Canis lupus familiaris: one gene and its partner. The protein of the gene in region 1 interacts with the protein of each later gene in a pairwise test. Links are inferred from orthologs where the notes say so. Each region holds a gene or a part of one and is shown on either strand. Other genes may lie near its edges. The genes, in order: CCDC158 and GPSM1.

The links.
Region 2: the proteins of CCDC158 (region 1) and GPSM1 interact in a two-hybrid assay, tested with the Homo sapiens proteins (2 studies listed by BioGRID and IntAct). The link is inferred for Canis lupus familiaris from reciprocal best matches to the Homo sapiens genes CCDC158 and GPSM1.

What each region holds. Positions count from the first base shown.
Region 1 is NC_049253.1:39,111,898-39,119,519, forward strand, and holds the start of CCDC158 (coiled-coil domain-containing protein 158), read left to right. Parts: upstream 1-2,594; 5' UTR 2,595-2,815; intron 2,816-7,622.
Region 2 is NC_049230.1:49,138,409-49,145,384, reverse strand, and holds part of GPSM1 (G-protein-signaling modulator 1), read left to right. Parts: intron 1-2,827; coding exon 2,828-3,049; intron 3,050-3,670; coding exon 3,671-3,806; intron 3,807-4,409; coding exon 4,410-4,552; intron 4,553-5,161; coding exon 5,162-5,285; intron 5,286-5,390; coding exon 5,391-5,506; intron 5,507-6,127; coding exon 6,128-6,283; intron 6,284-6,976. UniProt on the Homo sapiens protein: Guanine nucleotide dissociation inhibitor (GDI) which functions as a receptor-independent activator of heterotrimeric G-protein signaling.

The DNA of each region.
Region 1 (7,622 bases):
TATGGTACACAAAACATGGGCAAAATCAAACATACAGATTTAAGATCCTGGTATTTGACAATGAGAAAGGCATTCTTTATTCTTCCTTCAGAGAAAATCCTAGAATCCACTGCCTAGGTCTTCTGAATGTGGCATATTCTTTCTCATTCCCTAAATTGACTTATGAACAACTTTTTAGATTTTCCTGTTTCTTTAGGTAATTAGGTCTCCGTTGTGCTTTTTAGATCTTTGTTTTGGTCATCTTCCTCTACTACTTTAAATTTCAGTTAATTAAATCAATACATGGTGAGTAATAATCTACTTTGTGATTCTTATTTACTTTCTATCTTTCTCTTTTTTTGTTCCTTCTCATTTTATTACCAGAAAAAAAAGTAGCTATTTCCCTATAGTCAATGATTTTTAATATAAAGAGTTGTGGAATCATCACTGTGATCTATTTTAGAACATTTCCATGACCTCGGAAAGAAACTTCGTACCCATTTATATTCACTCTCTACTCCCATCCTTAGCCTCACACAGAAAGAAATTTACTTCCTATCTCTACAGATTTGCCTCTTTTGAGTGGTGTCTATAAATGGAATTGCATAATATGTGTATTTGTGTGTGTCTGGCTTCTTTAACTGAGCATAATATTTTTGAGGTTAATCGATGTTGTAACATCTGTCAGCATTCAGTTCCTTTTTTCCCCTAAAACAGTATTCCATCATATAGGTATACCATATTTTATTTATCCAGTTGATGGATATTTGGATTTTTTTCCCACTTGGTGACTATTGTAAACAATGAGGCCACGAACATTTGAGTGTGTCTTTTTTACAGAAGTGTTCTCATTTCTCCTGGGTACATATACTTAGAAGTATCATTGTTGGGTGATAGAGTAACATTTTTAAAAACCGCCATATTTCCAAAGTGGCTACACCGTTGTACATTCTCACCAGCAACATATAGCAAGGTGTATTTTTCACTTCCATGGAGTGACAGCTTACGTAGGACAAGCCAGGGAACTTTGACTAAGAAGAATTTTTCCTGCACTTGAGAGATGGGAAGATGGGAGATAATTTTCTTCTCTGCCACTTTCTGAATCTATTTTCTATTCCACATGCAGTTAGAGTAGGCATCAACGTGTTCTGCAATCAACATCATAAAGTTAAAGTGAACACTGACTTGCCAAGACCTCCCTCATTATGATGAAATGCTACTCCTTATGCTCACATACACCCAAACATGATTTTTTAAAATGCTCATTAATCCCTACTCGTACAAAGAGGCAAATACCTTCTTCACTTGCTCTTTTTAAGTAAAGTTCATTGCTCCATTATTCAGAGTTCAAAAAAATGAACTCTGAAAAAAATGAACAAACAAAAAAGGAATAATGCCTTTTGCATTGTCATATTTGAATGTGAATTAAAGAAGAGAGGACCAGAAGCATATTTAGCTTCTCTTGAATGGCCAATTTCATGTGGCTGACAACATGAATTATATTATGTAAAATCTATTCATTATTCTATCCATTCCTGATCATGCTGAGGTTTAGGTTGGCCAGGCTAATGGCTGTCACATGAAGCTACTATCTGTCAATCTTCAGTGAACTTCAACAAAAAACAGGGAAACTGTAAAAAGACAACAACATAGTGAGTCAAAGCATATTCGTTTTCTTTTTTTTTTTTTTTAAGCATATTCATATTGAGGGGAATGGCTTCAAAAGAAGCTTCTTGCTTTGAATTTGGCAGTGGTACAAGTTACTTTAAAAACACTGCATTTTACTGTCAAAAAGTCACTGTGTTATTTTGAGGTTGGGATGGATTAGAAATTATACTATATTTTATTGCTTGCTTAGGTGCCGAACCTCATTCCACTGCCATGGTATAATGTCAAATATGCTGGACTGAAAAACAGTATGTTGTCCACTTTCTTCTCGTGTATGTTTATCATATGAACTCAGAAAGAATAGAAACCTCATAAACAAAATTCTAGAAAAGAAATCTGCTCAGAGAGCTCCCAAAGAATTAGATTTCCCTGTCTATTCTGCACAGGGGAGCACATTTTCCTTAACCAGTAACCTGTAGAGCCTCTAGAAGAAAGCGATCTACAGAACAAAAGAGACATTGGATTGTCCTCTCAAAGGGGAAGAGAAATTTTCTTGTAGCTTGATTCATACAGAAAAAAGAAGTGATGATAAAAACAGTGTGATTCATCAACTCATTCAGTGAAGAAAGAGGAAGGCAGTCCAAGAATGAATTTCTCCTTTTCTTAGCACCCAAGAAAACGTAGGTCTAAGATACTACTGGGGCCCTTTGATTCGAATCCCGTGGCGGAGTGGAAAGACCAGAGACTTTGGAATCAGATTCACTTCAGGCTCAGGCTTTTCCTTAGTTAGCATTCGCCAAGGGGTGCTAGTCTTGGTTGGGGTTTCCCCAGAAGCAGACTCCAAGACAAGAGTTCAAAAGCAAGTACTAGCGTATCTAGAAAGTGCAGAAAATCGAGGGGGAAGTGGGCGGGGAGGCAGGAGAGGCACAGTCCACACAGAAGCCCTTGCAAGCCAGCGCAGCCAGCGCAGCCAGCCCAGCCCCGGCCACCGGGCAGCTCCCACCACGCGGCGCAGAGGCAGCGAGAGGAGAGGCCACGCCAGAGCCCGACGGTTCTCAGCTTAAGTCGGGCACGTGGGGAGGGTTGCTCCGAGCGTCCTTAAACAGGCAGCAAAGGGGAGGCAAAATAGAGTCCTTAACCCAACAGACGAGGATGCTGACAGTTGAGGATGCTGACAGTTGAGGATGCTGACAGTTGGAGGTCAAGCCAACATGCCCTGACGTGAAAGGTGAGGGAATGGGACGTGGCGGTGCTGGTCGCTGCAGGTGGTAGAAGCAGCAGCAGAGAACACAGGCCCTTTGGGCGCAGAGACCTTGTTTGCTGTCGTTTCCTCCATGCTGTCATATTTTAGGCATTTGATAAATAATGTGTGGACCGAACATGCCAGTGAACACATGAAACAGCTTTAAATCCAGGCTCTATCATTTAGGAAAAATCTTTTTTCAATCTCTTTTTTCATTTCATCAAATTTCATTCTACAAAACCATAAATAAAAGAACTTAACATAGTATCTATCCAACCCACAGTAGAACTGAGTGAATATAAATATTGTTACTATGTGTCCATTTCCTGCTTTCTACCTGCAGTCCTCCCCTCTTTATTTTGCCTTCCCTTATCAAGAGGAAAGCTGACTGCAGTACCCTACAGTGCCTGGGTCCAGAAATGGGCACTACACCCTGGCACACTGTAAGGGCCCACACCACAGTTTCTTCTTCTTTTTTTTTTTAAAGATTTTATTTATTATTCATGAGAGATACAAAGAGAGAGAGAGGCAGAAAGAGGCAGGCAGGCAGAGGGAGAAGCAGGCTCCCTGCGGGGAGCCTGATGCGGGACTAGATCCAGGACCCTGAATCACACTTGAGCCAAAGGCAGATGCTCAACCACTGAGCCACCCAGATGCCCCACCACAGTTTCTTCATAAGGTCAAATGCATCGACTTATATATGCACAGAAAGCTGTGATAGTAATTCTTACAAGACACTGCTAAGCAACTCATTTAAGTGTAAATGTTGAGTCAAGAGCACCAGGATGCAACCATAATGCAATCCTGAAGAACAAAACTAACTTTCCTGCTACTTATACTTACCTAGGTCAATGGTTGTCTGGTTTTTCACCTGCTACTCAAATGTGAAAATATGAAGAATAACCCCCTGCCACCACCAAAATCCAAAAATGAAAGTGTCAAGTATTTTCTGTGAACTCATTCTCCAAAATTTACTCACTGTCCCATTCCTTTAATATCCTATCTTGGCTCCCAATATGTGTATTTATTGCTGGAACCCAACCAGATCCTGTGTCTGAATTCCAGCAGCTCACTCCCCAGTTTCCCTGAGACAAGGCAACCCCCCAAAATGTGAATTTCTCAGAGGACCACACACAAGATGATAAAAGCTTAAATTATGCCTATACAACTTCTTCCATTAAAAGTTTCAACTTTTTAAAGCAAAGGAATAAGACAGTTACTTCTAGAAGTTTAATCTTTCTTCCTACTTTCTAGCAAACGTGTGGTTAGAATATAATATAATACCCAAAGTGCTAGACACTTAACTTAGTCCAACTAACCTGAAGAATACTTACTCCACTTAAATTGTCTTGTGTTTTAATTCCGAATTCCTGCCATAATTATCTTTAGTCTTGAGATCTTTACAATTCTAGGATCTGTCTGAACTATTGCCAGGAGCCAAGAATGGATGAGGGATGAGGCCAGTTGAACTAGGCACTACTAGGCAGCAATGGCTTTGAACAATTGTGTGTGGAGGTCTCAGGATTATTCCAAGGGAACATACTATTAGGAGAGCTAGAGAGTATGCCTTTCAGGGAGGGTGGGACTAATGAGTCATGGAACCAGAGCAGATGGGTTAAGCATGAAGAGAGTAAGCTAAGCAGCAGACCAAGCCAAGAGCACTGGCTATTAAGGAGTGATATGAAAATACTCAGTAATTTGTTTATATCATAAAGTAAGCAAGAGCTAGAAAGGGACAAATGAAATAAAGTTAGTTACAATGGAGACTCCTCCATGGAAGACCATCTGTTGTGGAGCTGATCTCCACCTCGCTGGAAGGCATGAACTTGAAGTACCCTAGAAAATCAGTGCTCTATCAGCATGAACCTCAAGCCTGAGGTTGTATGGATAAACTAAGTGGATCCAGCCTCTGTTAGCTTTCGACTGTTTCATGTTTTAGTGTTTTTCCTTGGGTAACTGACCTGATTTGAGAGTTAAGGTTTTATTTATCATGGCCTATCCAGGTGACAGAATGTATGCAGCCCAAGAGTTAAGCCCCAGGGTTTAGGCTGATGGGCAGCAAGAGTTTAAGTCAACTAAGGAGACAAAAGCCTAAGAGAGAAACAAAGGCACTATTGATGACTGTACATTAAGATGAAATACAGCAAAATCCCCATTGAAAAACAACAATCAGTGAGGTGAACTGAGACCAAGGTTAGAACACCGCAGAAGTACAAAGGCAGGAAGGAGGGTCTGGGAAGATGTTGGGAGGCCAATTTAATTCCTGAGGTTGACATCGCAGGAATGTTCCTCATTTCATGGTACTAGCTACCTTCAAGATGCCATTGAGCTACCTGATTTTTTTCCCCACAGTTCACACATCCCACTCCTTCTACCAGTTGATCGTGACTTTGGGATGAAGTAGATGGAGGTATTCTTTGGAACTGCACAATGACAATGCAGCTTTCACTTTCAAAAGTATTTCTCAAGCTTACATTTTTTTTTTTTTTAAATTTTTTTTTTTATGATATGTCATATTTATGATAGTCACACACACAGAGAGAGAGAGAGAGGCAGAGACACAGGCAGAGGGAGAAGCAGGCTCCATGCACCGGGAGCCTGACGTGGGACTCGATCCCGGGTCTCCAGGATCACGCCCTGGGCCAAAGGCAGGCGCCAAACCGCTGCGCCACCCAGGGATCCCTCAAGCTTACATTTAAAGAAGTCTTAGATTAGGGATCCCTGGGTGGCGCAGCGGTTTAGTGTCTGCCTTTGGCCCAGGGCGCGATCCTGGAGACCCGGGATCGAATCCTACGTTGGGGTCCCGGTGCATGGAGCCTGCTTCTCCCTCTGCCTGTGTCTCTGCCTCTCTCGCTCTCTCTGTGTGACTATCATAAATAAATAAAAATTTAAAAAAAAGAAGTCTTAGATTAGTACCTAATTAGTTCTGCCAGCTTCCCGTTTATCTATAAAATGTAAATAATAATGGGACCTCTACCTCACAGTTCTGTGAAGTTTATGTGAGACAGCATGCCTGTTGCAGAGCAGGACCTCAATAAGATTAGTCATATTACTGTGACAAAAGCAACCCCAGCAGATCTTGTTGGCTTGAAGTGATAAATAACCCTCTAATCAACAGTTATGTGATAGAGGGATCCCTGGGTGGCGCAGCGGTTTGGCGCCTGCCTTTGGCCCAGGGCGCGATCCTGGAGACCCGGGATCGAATCCCACGTCGGGCTCCCGGTGCATGGAGCCTGCTTCTCCCTCTGCCTGTGTCTCTGCCTCTCTCTCTCTGTGACTATCATAAATAAATTTAAAAAATTAAAAAAAAAAAAAACAGTTATGTGATAGAGAAAAATGTCTCCCAACTAATCAAAACAAGAATATTTGTGATTTATTTGTATATCACTCCATAAATTATAATAAACTTTGACAGTTGTCTTTTGGAAGGCCTTATCTTGTTGTAGACCCAAGAAGTACCGTAGAAATCCATGAGGGAGAGAAGAGAAGGTGGCTTCAAGAACCAGCACTAAAAATCTCCCAGGGCTTAAATACACACCATGAGTCCGTCTTACCATAAATAGAAGAAGACTCATAGTGTGATGCACACTCACATCCTATACTGAAACTCAGCCCAAGATCCTCCTAAAACCTACAATGTGCAATATGATCTGACCCCTGACTACCTTTCCATTTTCATATCATACCACTCTCTCTCTTGCTTATTTCTATAGACTATGTGCCCTCTCTCCACCTGACTTCATGTGTTGAAACCTATTTCCCCAATGCGATGGTATTTGGAGGTTGGGGCCTTGGAGGTGATTAAGTCATGAGGGTGGAGCCTTCATGAGTGAGACCTGTGCCCTTAGACCCCAAAGAGCTCCCTCACCCGTTTGGCCATCTGTGGGCTAGGAAGCCAGCCCTCACCAGACACTGAATCTGCAGGCACCTTGATCTGGGGCTTCTCAGTCTCCAGAACTGTGAGAAATAAATCTCCATTGTTAATAAAGCACTCTGACCATGGTACTCTGTTAAAGCATCTGAACAGACTAAGAAACTTACTATAATCCAATAATACTGACTTTATTTTTGTTTTGAACATTCCAAGGCTCTACTGTCTATCCCAATGTTTAAAAAAATTTTTTAAGATTTTATTTATTTATTCATAGAGATGCAGAGAGAGAGGTAGAGACACAGGCAGAGGGAGAAGCAGGCTCCATACAGGGAGCCCAACGTAGGACTCGATCCAGGGTCTCCAGGATCACGCCCTGGGCTGCAGGCAGCGCTAAACCGCTGAGCCACCGGGGCTGCGCTATCCCAACTTTCAAACCTCTTTGAGTGTCTGATTTCATATTTCCCATCCACCAGGTCTTAGTTCAGATGTGACTTTTTAAAAAGATTTCATTTATTTATTTGAGAGAGAGAGAGCATCAGTTGGCATAGGAGTAGAAGGAGAGGGAGAAACAGACTCCTCTCTGAGCAGGCAGCCCAACATGGGGCTTGATCCCAGTACCCTAGGACCAGGACCTGAGTTGAAGACAGACACTCAACCAACTGAACCACCCAGGTGCCCCATCTCAGATGTGATCTTATCAGAAAACTCTTCTCTAATCACCTATTTATTTATTTATTTTTTAAAGATTTTATGTATTTATGATAGTCACAGAGAGAGAGAGAGAGAAAGAGAGAGAGGCAGAGACACAGGCAGAGGGAGAAGCAGGCTCCATGCACCAGGAGCCCGACGTGGGATTCGATCCCGGGTCTCCAGGATCGCGCCCTGGGCCAAAGGCAGGTGCCAAACCGCTGCGCCACC
Region 2 (6,976 bases), on another chromosome or scaffold:
TTCCTCCATATGCTCTGCTCTGACTAGCTTTGGGGAGCAGGGCCCAACCTGGCTCCCCAGTTCCCTCTGATCTCAGAGCTGTACCCCCTCCTCTTCCCAGGGTCCAGAGCCTTGGAGGCCTCTGCTGCCCCAGTGCCTGTTGCCAAGCCAGGCAAGTGGCCTGGCAGAGTCTCCACCCCGCGCCCCACCCCCCCCTGCAACCCAGACCTGCCCTCTCTGCTGACGATGCTGATCCCCTGCTCTGAGCTGCCCTGATCCCTTGATCCATCTCAGTTGCTGGAGGCCCCAGACACCCTGCCTAAGGACCTGGGGTCTCTTGGAAGCCAGAGCCTTTGGCCCACCACTCTGGGGTGGGTGGAGGCAGGGGACCACGAGGCGGGCACATCCCCAGGGCCAGCAGCCCGGGTGGGGCAGTTGTCGGCAGGCCTGGAGGGAGGCCTGGAGCCCCAAGATGCCGGCTGCCTCCACGGAGACCCAGCCTGTGGCCCTGAGCTTGGCAGAGAAGGCTGTCTGCAAGGTGGTGTATGGCGCCCCCCGTCCCCGCCCCCTGCTACTGCCCGTGGGCCTGGAGCTGTGGCTGCATGTGCAGAAGATGCGCAACCTGCGGAGGAAGAGGTGCGGTGGGCAGTGGGGCAGGGGCCGTGGAGGTCAGGGTCTGGAGGGTCTCGGGCCAAGTGGAGGACACCTGCCTGCCACCTCCTCACATTGCTGGGCCCGTGTGGGACCTGCCCGTATGTGATTCAGGATGCTGTGTTGGGCACCCCCTCACTGTGCCCCTGGGCCCTTGACACAACCTCTCCCACGGTGATGGTAAGGACACATGTCTAGGCAGGAACGCTGGGCTGGGGAGGCCACTCCCCCAGTCGTGTCTGTCAGCCAGCAGGGTGTGCTGGGCTCAGGACCCAGCAATGTCAGACTCCAGGCCCCCGTCCTCCCAAGTCACCTGGGAGGAGAGATCACTCAGCCGCATCAGAGAGCTAGTGCCAGCTGGGTGAGGACGAGCCGCCCTTAGTTAAGGAGCCGTCTGCACGGTGGTGGCCAGGCCAGGGGATGGCTGCTGGGGGCTCCTGCCATATGGCATCCGATGTACCTTCCCAGAGTGTGGTGGGTAGGAGGCCGAGACCCTGGACCCCAGCTCTCCGAGAGGCCACCCAGGCTCTGCTTGAGTCTGGAGGGTGCAGGGCAACGCCAGGTCCTGGAGCCCACTCTCCACTGGGGAGTCCAGGCTGGGCCAGGGGCACTGTGACGGAGACCTCCCACAGAGAGCCCTGAGTCCGTGTGGTGTGGGGCTGTTTGGTACGCCGTCTTGTTGGAAATGTGTAAAGTGCCCATTTTCTTGACGATGTGGGAGTCAGGTGGACAGGGCACTCTGGTTTGTATCAGCAGGCTATGTGGGCAAAACGGCTGAGAAGTATGGCTGTGGGCAGATTTGTTTGTTGAGAGGATATGTGTGATTCTCCTCCAGTAACTGCTGGTCACTGGGGGGACATGGCCAATTTGGTGTGGACACCTTGAATTACCCTGCAGGCTTTCCCTGGACCCCGGTGACTGGGGTTGGCCCTTGGCCATGCAGAACGTGTCTCTCACTTTTCCAGGGCCATGTATGTGGCCACTGGGCCCCTCCTGCCACCTGCCTGGGTGCCCTGCAGCCTGGAGCCCCACTCTTCCCACCCTAGGGCAGGGCAATGTGCCAGGCCTTGAGGCTGGAACCCACAGGACCAGCTGGAATAGGGCAGAGGAGGAGACCGAGGTTCTAGGTGGTGATGTGTCCTACCCGGGACCCCACAGCAGGGAGAGCTGGAACCAGGGCCAGCCTGATCAAGTGACTGCCCACACAAGGCTCTTCTGACAGCCCTGTCCTTGGGGCAGCTCACCCAAGGCCCAGGGGTCGTGGGGCCCGCAGTGAGCAGGGCCCAGGTAACAGCTGGGGGGCTTGGACCCCACCTTGGGGGCTAGCAGGGCCTAAGGGTAAGGGGCTGCTTCTCTGAGGCCCCTGCCCAAAGGTCGGGAGAGGAAGCCTCCAGCAAGGGCACTGGTTGTCCCATGGAACCCCGGGCTCTTGCAGTTGGGCTGGGTTCAGGGCCAGGAACCTGGAGCAGTTTCCCACGGGTCCAGGGGTCGTCCATCCCGGGATGGGCCCTGTCATGTCCTCTTGCAGTAGCGCCATGGGGATGGGGAGACCTGGGAGGTGACCAGCTGAGCACTTAGCCCGTGGGGCTGGCTGACCCTTGGCTCCCATACAGCCATGCCCCCGAAGGATGGGAGGCGAGGACAGATGATGGCTGAGCCCCCAGCTGCCCACAGAGACCTTGGAGGGCGGGGCCCACCCTAGGACATAGGATGCAGTCAGCTCCTGCCCATGTGGCCTTGACCAGTTTTCTCTGAATCTCCCAAGGCCTCGGCTGTCCTGGGTGAGAATCAGGGCCTGCCACGGGCTGCTGTGGCTGCTCTGGAGGAGGGACGTGGCCCCAGGCCTGGGGGGCCCTCGTCCAGGTGCCCGAGACTTCTTGAAGGCTGTGGCCACCGTGGCCTGAGGGTCTTGCTATGGTCACAGACTCATGCCTCTTCCTGGGCTGAGCCCCGGGAGCGTGAGGGGTGTGCAGTGCAGCTGGGGCACAAGTGAGCCCACCTGGGGACAGGCACAGCACTGGAGCTGGCACTCGCTTCCAGGCAGTCCTCCAAAGACATTTCCGACTGTGTGCACAGGGATGGAGGGGGCCACCGCTCCCCGAGGGCCTCGTGGTCCTGGTGACACCTGGGCAGGGAGCACAAAGGCCCCGTGGGACCACGCAAGAGGTAGGCGGTGACTTGTGTCCCCTGCGCGCAGGATGGAGGCCTCGTGCCTGGAGCTTGCCCTGGAGGGGGAGCGTCTCTGCAAGGCTGGGGATTTCAAGGCGGGCGCGGCCTTCTTTGAGGCAGCGGTGCAGGTGGGCACCGAGGATCTGAAGACGCTGAGTGCCATCTACAGCCAGCTAGGCAACGCCTACTTCTACCTGAAGGAGTACGGCCGGGCGCTGGAGTACCACAGGCACGACCTGCTGCTGGCCCGGTGAGGTGCCCTGCGTGTGTCTGGGGAGCTCAGGGTGCCCAGGACCCCGGGGCGGGGGGGGGAGGACCGCACAGTGCCCCCGGCAGCGCATGTTGTCTCTCTGTCGGCCCGTGTTCCCAGCGTGTCCGCCTGCCCAACTCCGGAACCCCGTGCACACCTGTGTGTGGGCTCCATAGGCCTCACTGTTCTCTGGCCTCCAGGCCTGGGCCCGAGCTGCTCTTGCCCTGGAACACGCTCTGCTCCTCCTGTACGTGGGCAGTGGGTGCCCCACAGGCCCTTCCCTGGCCAGCAAGCCCCTGACGGCCCCTGACACCCAACCAGCCTGTCAGAAGTTATTCACACCACCGGGCCCCATGGCTCTCCCGGGTTCCATCCGGGCACCTCCCCAGGCCCTGACAGTGGCAGGCTGGGCCCAGCAGAGAAGTGACCCTCCCCTGCTCAAGCAGGGCTCCCGACCCGAGGGGCCCTCCCCACCCACCCCAGAACCTCAGCCCAGCATGGCCCCCATCGGCCCAGGGCTGGTCCTGCCAGGCCTCCCCTACCCTCACCTGGGCTTCCTGCAGCCCGCAGCATCCTGAGCCTGGCCTTTGGCCTGGCCGCACACTGCCCCCTGCCCTCCAGGACCATCGGTGACCGCATGGGGGAGGCCAAGGCCAGTGGAAACCTGGGGAACACGCTCAAGGTCCTGGGCCGCTTTGACGAGGCCGTCGTCTGCTGCCAGCGGCACCTGGACATCGCCCAGGAGCAGGGGGACAAGGTGGGTCAGCAGCTTCCAGGGCAGCTGCCCCTCCCAACCCCATGACCCGGGGCCTCATGGGAGGAGGATGGAAGAGTGACCCCTGACACACTGCAGGGCTGAGTCCCTAGCTCCCCATCCCCCATGTCAACTCTTCCTCTCACCGACCTCTCCCAGTCTGGCTCCAGAGGGAGGCAGGGTGGCGTGGCAGCTGGGGATAGAGTCGCTCTGGGCCTAGCTCTGTGCCAGACCTTAGGCTGTCCCACTCAGTAACCTCCCTCCATGACCCTGTGACATAAGCACAGACGAGGAAACATGATGGCTTGCCCCACGTCGTATCTCATGGCAACCGGGCCCGGCTGGGAGCGCCCTCCTTCCCCTGGCACCACACAGAGGCCTGGCCACCCTGACGGCAGAGACTGAGGGCTGTGGGTACCGGATGTGGCTGCACCTCCTCTGCTGAGTCGGTCCCAGGGTCGTTTGGTTGCCTCATCCTCTGTCCACAGAATGGCAGTCACGTGCCAGCACCCCCACCCCTCCTTGGGGCCCCAGGCCTACCTCAGCATCCACACTTGCCTTTGGGGCTGTGTCTGTGGGTCCCCCCAATGTCGGTGCTGCCCTCAGGTCGGGGAGGCGAGGGCACTGTACAACATCGGCAACGTCTACCACGCCAAGGGCAAGCAGCTGTCCTGGAATGCTGCCCAGGACCCCGGGCACCTGCCACCCGACGTCCGGGAGCCACTGCGCAGAGCCTCCGAGTTCTATGAGTGAGTGGGGCGGACAGGGGCACCTGCAGAACCAGCGGACCGGGCTTTGTCCACGCTCTCCTGGCGCTTCCCGGGCCACTGCCACTGGCCCAGGCCCAGAGCACCCATGTCCACCCCATCACCTCTCCACCAAGCCCGCGTGGTGCTGGCCAGTTGACTCTCCTTCCCCACCCCCCCCACTGGCCCCGTCCTCAGGGCCTGCGGGGAGTGCACCAAGCCTCCTGCCGCTTCCCTGTGCGTCAGTCCCCCACCCAGTGCAGAGAAGCAGGGAAAGCACCAAGCAGAAGCCATGGGTGGCGTTTAGAAAGCACATGGCTGGAAGGGGGGCAGGGACATCGGCCAAGCCTCGTGGGTGGGAGAACCTTGCCCCTGAAAACCAGAGTGGGGCAGGCGAGCCCCGGATGCAGGCCTTGGAGCTCATGGTACCTGCTGGCAGTGGCACCAGAGCTGGGGGGCCCACCCTGAGCGGCCCTCATTCTGGGGCACACTCCTGGGAGGAACCGAGCAGAGGACACCTGTCCGTCACCCTCTAGGCTAGGCGGGTGGGTCACAGGGCCCCTGCTTCCCGGGCATTGAGAGGGACACAGCTCAGATGGATGCGACCCCCAGGAGGAATCTGTCCCTGGTGAAGGAGTTGGGTGACCGGGCGGCCCAGGGCAGAGCCTACGGCAACCTAGGCAACACCCACTACCTGCTGGGCAGCTTCATGGAGGCCACAGCCTTCCACAAGGAGGTGAGTGCACTGTGGGGCCCCCAGCCACCGTGTCTGTGCGTCTGTCATCCACATCGGGTCCCGCGGCTACTCTGTAACCACCCAGCCTTGGGTCTGTATCCTCAGCGCCTGGCCATTGCTAAGGAATTCGGAGATAAGGCAGCCGAGAGGAGGGCCTACAGCAACCTGGGGAACGCCCACATCTTTCTGGGGCGCTTTGACGTGGCCGCCGAGTACTACAAGTAGGCAGGCCTGCCCCCCAACCCCTGCCCACCTCCCCACCCACCCCCACCCCTGCCCGCCCCCACCTGCCCAGCCCGGGGGCCAGGTGGGGGGTTCTGGCCTGTGTCCTAGGGCTATCAAGGGCAGAAAGCACCACAGCCCCTTCCCTTGGTACGTGCTGGCAGAGGCCACTGTGTGCCGGGGACACAGTTGGCCACAGCTCGGGGCTTTCTGATGCTAGCTGTGGGGGGGAACCCCCAAAATGTCTTTACTCCCCACGATAGCTCTGAGTGCACGTATGATCCTTGTACGGACTCAGAAGGTCAGGACCATGTGGGCTCCTGGGAGTCCCTGACCTGTGCCCGGGGAGCCCTGTGAACCATCTGCAGAGCGGTGGCCACCATGTAGAGACTGGGTCATCGGCCCCAGGTCCCGGGCTGAGCTTTACCATCCTGAATCAGGAGCCCGGGCTGGGCTGTGTTGTCCCCCAGCCCTCTATGGAGACTCTGGTGGGATCCTGGGGCTGAGGTCACAGAGCAGGTGGGCTGCATCTGCATCGCCCACTGCCCACCCCTCAGATGAGGGCCATGCACAGTGCCACGCCCCCTCCATTTGGGACTGACCCTCTGTCCTCTCTGCAGGAAGACACTGCAGCTGTCCCGGCAGCTCAAGGACCAGGCAGTGGAGGCACAGGCATGCTACAGCCTGGGCAACACGTACACGCTGCTGCAGGACTACGAGCGCGCAGCTGAGTACCACCTGCGGCACCTGCTCATCGCCCAGGAACTGGCTGACAGGTTAATGGGGGGTGGGGGTCAGGCCTGGCCCACAGGCCTCCAGACAGTCCTTGAGCTGCAAACTGCTTTCAGCGTGGCCCTGCCCTGCTGCCGAGCACCAGGAGGCCTCTCCGAGCAGGACGGCCTGCCTGGCCTCAGCCTCCCTCTGCCATTGGGCCATGCCGTCCCGAGTGGGACCGCATGAGACCAGGTGGGTGCCGGCTGGCCACCTGTGGTGACCGTCAGGGTAGGCTGGTTGGGGATCAGCCCCCTGAGCACCCCGTGTCTGCGTAGCCTCAGTCTCTCAGGAGACACAGAAGTATCCTACATGCATGGGTGTGGGGTGGGCGGCCAGGGCAGGGGCAAAGGGGCTGCTGGCAGGCTACTCTGTTGGGAGGCTCCAAGTGGCTGGCCCTTGCTCTGGCGGGCGATGGCGCTCTGGAACTAGATGGTGACGGCTGTGGATCAGAAGTACACACAGAGCTGAGCATATGCCCAAGTGGTTAAATTTATGTTTTGTGATTTTTCACCTTAATTGAAAGATTGATGACCTGAGGGACTGCCCCTACCTCCTGCCCCCACACCCAAGGGTGGAGGAGAGCCTCACTGGCTGGTAGGGGACAAGCGAGACCCGCAGGAGCCCCAGGCCTGCCGGCTCTGCTCCTGTCACAATGGGCCCGAAAACCGGGGGCTGGTGGGTGGGCTGGCGGGCCT